Nothobranchius furzeri: one gene and its partner. The protein of the gene in region 1 purifies or fractionates together with the protein of each later gene. This does not show direct contact. Links are inferred from orthologs where the notes say so. Each region holds a gene or a part of one and is shown on either strand. Other genes may lie near its edges.

The links. Proteins that work in one complex are often made in the same cells at the same time.
Region 2: the proteins of wrap73 (region 1) and cep135 purify together in Homo sapiens (co-immunoprecipitation; 6 studies listed by BioGRID and IntAct, counting the BioPlex papers as one, with this or other methods). This does not show direct contact. The link is inferred for Nothobranchius furzeri from reciprocal best matches to the Homo sapiens genes WRAP73 and CEP135.

Annotation. Positions count from the first base shown.
Region 1 is NC_091755.1:32,175,996-32,179,328, forward strand, and holds part of wrap73 (WD repeat-containing protein WRAP73), read right to left. Parts: intron 2,718-3,333; coding exon 2,645-2,717; intron 1,761-2,644; coding exon 1,657-1,760; intron 1-1,656.
Region 2 is NC_091748.1:40,510,518-40,514,772, forward strand, and holds the start of cep135 (centrosomal protein of 135 kDa), read left to right. Parts: upstream 1-1,329; 5' UTR 1,330-1,576; intron 1,577-1,777; 5' UTR 1,778-1,803; coding exon 1,804-1,916; intron 1,917-1,999; coding exon 2,000-2,190; intron 2,191-2,278; coding exon 2,279-2,446; intron 2,447-2,514; coding exon 2,515-2,656; intron 2,657-2,754; coding exon 2,755-2,839; intron 2,840-2,906; coding exon 2,907-3,035; intron 3,036-3,128; coding exon 3,129-3,344; intron 3,345-3,445; coding exon 3,446-3,511; intron 3,512-3,595; coding exon 3,596-3,746; intron 3,747-3,836; coding exon 3,837-4,051; intron 4,052-4,255. Other genes in the region: exoc1 (exocyst complex component 1), read left to right, coding at 1-54, 122-321, 412-606, 820-972. UniProt on the Homo sapiens protein: Centrosomal microtubule-binding protein involved in centriole biogenesis. Acts as a scaffolding protein during early centriole biogenesis.

The DNA.
Region 1 (3,333 bases):
GAAGGAGCGGAACAAGATGGCGACAGCTTGTTTGAAACAGCTTTGGACTATTTAGACTTGGGCTTTTCTTTGAGGCAAGAGCAGATTCTTGAATCCTTATTTAGAAAAACTATATATTTGCGTCTTCTTCCAGGGTATCTGCAGGTTTAAGGGAGCCAAATTTAAGACTTTTTAAGACCTCATTTAAGGCCACTTTCACCAAATTTAAGCTATTTTTAAATTAAATTTAAGCTATAATTTCCAGCTATTGCCTGGAACCGGTGCTAACCACGTCGTAAATGTGGGATTAGCCATCCAGTTACCATTAATGTTGCACTTCCCCATGGCGCAAACTCCCACTAGCATGCTCATCTAAAAATAGCCCCCTTTCACAACCAACTGAATGTGTACGGTTCCGCTTACCCCAATATCGTACACAAAAAATACTGAACTAACTAGAAATTCATGAACATTTTATAGAAATAAAAGAATCTTGTTTATTGGGTCTTTGGTAATTTAAGACCTTTGGAAACTATTTAAGGATTATTTGTCATTTTTAAGGATTTTTAAGGCCTTACATTTGGAAAAGCAAATTTAAGACTTTTTAAGGACCTGCAGCTACCCTGTTCTTCATCCGTGTATGGCGTACTGCCTCGTTGACACATCCGTAGCAGAGAGGATGTCATGTTGTTCGTTGTCCAAGAGCATAAGGAGACAGTTTGATAGACATCCATAGGTTCGGCCCCACGACAGAGCTCTGTCTATATATCCACATATATAGTCTAGCTTGCCAGGCTAACTTGTGCATTGCAGTTCATTATTCCCATTAGTCATTAGTTTCCTACCTAAGGAAACCCAACAGATTGCATCGAGTCACTGACTTGTTTTGTCAGTGACTCGACAGCAATCCCCAAACTAAGCAAGCATGTAGTGACAGTGGAGAGGAAAACTCCCCTTTAACAGAGAGAAACTTCCAGAAGAACCTGACCCAATAGCAGATTAACTACTGGTTGGACTTTCTACATTAACTCATTCACTGCCAGAAAAGCCCTTCGCTGCCAGCGTTTTTCACCGTTTTTACTGTTTAAGAGTCACAGAACGTAGCACTTTATGATGATGTCAACGCCAAAACTACCAAAACAAAGCGGAGACTCACCTGCGTTTCTAGCGTTATCTGTTGTGTAATAATCCGTTGTCGAATTGTGATCGGCAGAAGCTTTTCCGGTTCGCGCCTCACTTTTTTTACAGCAGTGGCCCAAAATGATCTCCTAACACATGATTTTCTGTTTCCTGATCACGTGACGTACGTGGATGAAGATCGGCTTTAGAGCTGAGATGTTTGTTCTCACGGAGCGGGGGCTCGTTCTCACGCCCACACAGTAAAAAAAATGCCAAAGACGAATTTAGTCATCATTGGCATTGAACGGCTGGATTTAATATGACGACTTTTCTCGTCAATGGTTGTGAATGATTTAAAGAATAATGTCCAATACTAAACCAAAACAACTCTAAAACGGTCCTAAATGCTTGACTTACTGAAGACAAACAGGGTCTCAATCAAAAATTGCCAATTACCCCGTAAGTATCTGATCCTTGACACCAGGCATGAAAGCACAGGTGATTGTTTTCTTTTTCATTACAACAATAAACTACATTATAAACGTTTTAAAGACCTACCCTGAGTAAATGCCAGTCTTCGCACACAAATATACTAACGTAGTCTTTGCAGTCACGGCGTTCAGCCAAGGCCATGTAGCCTCCATCTTTACTGAAGTCTATACCTGTGTGAAGAAGACGCAATTAGAAAAAGCAGCAACAAGGTTGATATTTTCCATTGTTTCGACCACTGGCTCCTGCAGGTAATTACGACTTTAAAGCATTTTACTTATTCTAAATAATAATTTTAAACGACAACTATTGTTTCCAGCTGCCGTCACACCCTTGCAGAAACCCACGAGTCACAAGCTGAAATTATCCATAGGGTAACAGATTTACTTTACTGGTTCTAGTTTAATATTGTGTCATGATGAGTTACAGCAAACTCTTAGAAACGTTCTGATTTTTAAAGAAGATAATCTGACCCTCTTGTGTCGGCATAACAGCTGCTTCTAGGTAACTTTAGTGATTTATGCTTCCGTTTACTGATTTAATTAATACTCAAATGTGGATTTTCCACAGTAGAATCCTTACATATACTAATGTTAACATCTCTGTGCATTAAGTGGCAAACAGCCTCTGTCTACGCTGGTAAAACACATTAAATCACACTCTCCTATGCGTTCCATCCCATGTAATTATCTGATTCTTTGGCACCATAAAGTCTGCGGCATGCAGCCATCATGGCCAAATCGTTTATATGACAGTCCTGGAGATAAACGCATTGCAGAGGGGCATCGTATTACACGTGGAAAATGAGGAGAGTCTGGGACAATCATATTTCCACTAGTTGCTGACAGGTCTGTTATGAAGAGCATGCCCCATTTACTGGAGAGGGACACAGCTGTCAGCAGAGGGGACCAGAGTCTGGACACATATTCTGGGCTGTGCCGCAAGGTAAAGAGCCGTTTGTGATTAATGAGGCACGCCAAGGCGCTCAGCTGACCCTGTCCTCAGGTACTCTGGTGGTACATGCTCTTTATAATCATAATACCATCCTCATACTCACCCTTCTGACACGCTTTGGGATACTTCATGTAAGACACCGCTTTAGTGCACAGGGACCAGACGGTAACCCTCAGCTGTCACGGCAACAGAGGAAAGAAAAAATGTTAACCAAAGACACGAATAATTCACAGTAAATAGAATTAAACTTTCTACACATCATCATGTGTCTATCAGCAAACCCAACATGGACCGGCCTGCACTTAAAGTGTTTGTAGATGGGCTGTTGTGTTGAGTAGAAATAAAAAACACTGATGCAGTCTGGAGTTTTCTCCCTTTCAGGAACTACATGACTTTTGTAGAAATGTGTGTGTCTTACCCTGCACTGCGTTTCAAATCTAGGCAATACGTCGATTTATTTTTTGCTAAGCCCGTCTCCCATCCTGTAGAGCCCCGTGTAATTTGAATTGAGCGCTGTTCAGCATTAATTAAGTTAGACATCCACTTGCGTACAAATGTCGTTCACAAGCGTCTGAGGTCGTACCTAAACTGATGTAGAGTTGGTGACATTTCTTACGGATGAGTACATTTAAAAAAATAAACGAACAGCATGATTTACAATTATAAAACTGTGTTGGAGCTTTGTTGCTCAACTAGAGGTGTGCACTGACAAACATTAAGTAGTAGATCTAAAATGTAAAATATTAAAAGCAGAGCTTACGATGTAAGCATATGCAAACATATGTGGTGATG
Region 2 (4,255 bases), on another chromosome or scaffold:
GAGGTGACCTAGACAAAGCTTACGTAAAGCTCATCAGGGCTGTGTTCACGAATGGTGAGATAACCCATCATCATGTGATGTTGTCTGGAAACAAATGAGGGAATTCAGGTTGTCTTTTCAGTGGAGAAGGTAGCCAATGAAAGCCAGAAGACACCGCGGGACGTCGTTATGATGGAGAACTTCCACCACATCTTTTCCACGTTGTCTCGTCTGAAGATTTCCTGCCTGGACGCGGAGAGGCGAGAAGCCAAACACAAATACACGGACCACCTGCAGTCGTATGTAATCAACTCTCTGGGCCAGCCACTGGAGAAGCTTAATGTAAGGAGATTCGTCTTTTTGTTGTGCCACGTAAAGAATGATGTAGTTCATTTTAACAAATTTTTAAGCATATTGTAAATTTTCTTTCAGCATTTCTTTGAAGGTGTTGAGGCCCGCGTAGCCCAGGGGGTCCGTGAGGAGGAGGTCAGCTACCAGCTGGCCTTCAACAAGCAAGAGCTACGCAAAGTCATCAAAGAATACCCTGGCAAAGAAGTGAAAAAGGGGCTCGACAACCTTTACAGGAAGGTGGACAAACATCTGTGTGAGGAAGAAAGTTTACTACAGGTAAGGAGTTCATGAAATCACTCACTTCCCTGCTGACTAAAACAGCATATGCCGTGTTTTGGATGCTGGTATGCTAGTCCAGCATGGGATGTAGTTAACTGGATTTTGGACCAGCATCCAAAACTCATGCAGATTTTTCAGCAGGGTTTAACACCGATATTGCCTTCTTAATGCTGTTTTCCAACTGTTGCACTTTCTTCTGAACTCCACCAGGTGGTGTGGCACTCCACGCAGGATGAGTTCATCAGGCAGTACAAGCACTTTGAGGGTTTGATAGGCAGGTGTTATCCTGGATCTGGAATCACCATGGAGTTCACCATCCAGGACATGTTGGAGTACTTCTCCAGCATCGCTCAGTCTCACTAGTTTAGTTGCCGCTCACTGTTTCTGTCACAAGTCACACCTGCTTCCCGACTGAAGGTTTATTAAATGTAATATAACACCTTTTGGATTGTGAACATTTCATATGTGCCTGTGTTGTTTTTAAAGGGAATTTCAACACTACATGTGTGCTTCTTTTGAGCTCCTCCCTACATCTTTTGTCGTTTTTCTCTTTATGTCAATTGTACATAATAAATTTGCAGTTGAAGCATCAACTAACAGATGATTATTGTACCTCATTTGTTGAAAGAAAAAAAAATACTTGAGATAAAAATCTGTGCTTAACTCCACCCCTCGATTTTCCCACGGGCGACGCCAGTTGACATAACAAGCTAGCCAAATTGCTCTCGTCCTCCATGGTGACGAATACAAACCCCGAAACTTTGTCGGCGCTCTTTTCAAACCAGCTTACCGCGGAAACATGTTAACTCACCCGTTTATAAACACATAACGGGATTCACAAAGTAGTGTTATAGTGTGGCTGAGCCAGGACATTTGTCCAAGTGAAGATACGTTTCTGTATGATGTAGCGTTACGGTGATAAATATTTAGCTAGCATTAGCCGCCGCGAACGGGGTTTTTAAGCACGGTAAGTTAGCTCATTAACTATTTCAATGACAATTGGTAGGTACAGTAATGATAACAAAACAGCCAGTTAACTATGCTAGTATCAATGTGTTGTTTTATTTGTGTATGTTAGTAACGCTAAAGTATGTTAGCAAACACTGCTATCTTTAGTACGCCTTTGTTACCTTATAAATGCATATTTAAAGCACCTTTGTTAATTTAGGAGTTGGCAATCTCAACATCACCATCATGAACAGTAGCGCAGAGAGGAAATACGTAAACTTGCGGAAACGTCTGGATCAGCTGGGCTACAGACAACCTCTGGGGATAGACTCACTGCCACTGGTGGAGAAGCTGTTCAGGTGAACCCAGCTTTCTGTTCTCTTACCTTTTATTCCCTTTATTAGTGTCAGTAACGTAAGATGCGATTCTTCCTCTGCTGCAGTGATTTGATCCACACAACAGAGAGCCTGCGCAATGCCAAACTATCAGCAGGAAAGACCGAGAAGGAGAGCCGAAACGTCGATGCTCTGCTGGAGCCCTACAGGACCGAGAACGCCAGGGTGGTCCGGGAGAACAACGAGCTGCACCTGGAGCTTCTGAAACTAAGGGAGGAGAAAGATCAGATCACTAGAGGTTAAGAAACACCCCCTCCTCCCCATTCTTACCTGCAGGTTCTAATGACTGGTGTGTTAACCCACACCCAGCCATCGTGTCTTGGCAGAGCTCAAAACTCGCATCAGAAAACTGGACCATGAGACATCGGACCTGAAGTTCTTGAACAACCAGTACGTGCATAAGGTTCGCTGCCTGGAGAAGGACAGCAAGGCTAAAGCTGAGCGCATTCAGCAGCTGCAGGAGAAGAACTTGCACGCTGTTGTGCAGACTCCAGGTACAACTCTTGACCAGGGTGTGATCATTGATGGAAATTCTTCTACTCACCTGTTTCTTTGTGACTAGGTGGGAAGAAGCGGAGTATTCCTTTTAGACGACAGAGAATGCACACTGATGAGCTCATACCTCCCACCTCTACATCTACCTATCCTGTCCAGCAGCCAGATGATCCATACATTGCTGACCTACTACATCTGGCTGATGGAAGGTGTGTTTCGTTGAAGTTGCTTCATAATGCATGTGTGGGTATTTATAAACCTTCACATTTCCGTTATCGTCTGGACTCACAGTTAATTTGATTTGTAGAATTAATGAGCTACAGGAGGAAATCATCAAGCTCAAACTAGACCTGGAAAAGTCCCAAGAATGTGTTAAACATATAAACACTCGGGTGAGGACGGCAAAATCAGGCGTGTGGTGAGGCTTCTTTAAGGTCTAACAAGCTGTCTCTTGAGTAGGTGGAGGAACGGGACAAAGAGATTGAGCGTCTGAATCATGTACTCCACGGGGGACGCCCTTATGATGTCATTTCTCTTGAAGCTCAGAACGTCAGCAATGAGAAACTGATCGCCCATCTTAACCTTCAGGCATGCACCACTGTCACTGGAGATAAACATATTCACATAGGTGCGTCTGTCAGGGAGTGCTGGTGCTTCCTAACTGTAATCTGTGTCTTCTAGATTGAGTACTTACAGGAAACCAACAGAACTCTGGAACATAAAATGGAGGGATTGCATCAGAAAAAGAAGGACGCCTCCACCGAAGTGGCTAGTCTGTCGTTAAAGAACCTGGAGCTCTGCGAAGAGCTGACTCAGATCGATCACCTCGCTAAGCGCATGGAGATGGACAAGGAGCGGATGCTGGAAACTGCAGACATGGAGCTCCAGGAAACTAAAGTAAGAAAATAAAGTCAATGGTAAATAAACTAGATGCATTTCAGGTAAAGATCATGTTTTTAAATGCCATAAAATACACTAAAGCATCTGTTTGGTTGCAGAAAGAAATTGGAAGGCAGCAGAAAATCACTGAAGAGTTGGAGGATATTATCACGAAGGCTAGAAAGGTAAAACACAACTTTTTTATCTTAATTGTTTCTATAGTTCAATAAATTTAAATTTAACCCGTCCAGTGACATGTTTGAGTTCAGGAACAGTCTGAAGGAGAATTTGAAAGAGATCGTCTCAGAAATCAGCTGGTGGAGCTTAAGGAACAAAACCAGAAGCTGGAGGGACTTCTGAACTTCCTGGAAGAGGAGAACACCAGGCTGCAGGACAAAGTGGAGAAGATGATGGCCGACGGTTAGCAATATTCTGGGATACCTCGGTTATTAATACTCAGATTTCATCGTCTTCAAATTGAACTTGTGTTTGTTGATGCTTGTGTTCCAGACAAAGAGCTGGTTCTGGAGTTGGAGACGATGCGTGCTGAACATGGTGTCTGTAGAAGAACGCACTCCCCATCGCGTCTAGATGCTTTTGTCAAGAGTCTTGAGGAGGAGAGGAATTACTATCGCCAAGAAGCTGAGCGCTACAAAAGAGTCCGAGGACTGAGTCCAAGTTGCAGTCCAGACAGGGGCAGGAGTCCAAAGTCCAAAAAGATCAATGTAGGTGATGGAAAAAATAAATGTGGTCGCTTTTTTGTTTCAGTGAAAATAACTTTTATTAAAATTATGCCAACAGGTTTTTTAACCCTCCCACTGTCTTCATGGGTGACCCCCCCCCCCCCCCCAAAGAAAGTTGACCACTGAGCAGGATTGATGGTTTATCCCTTGAGGTCCACGTGGCAGGGGTGAGGTGGGGCTCACTCC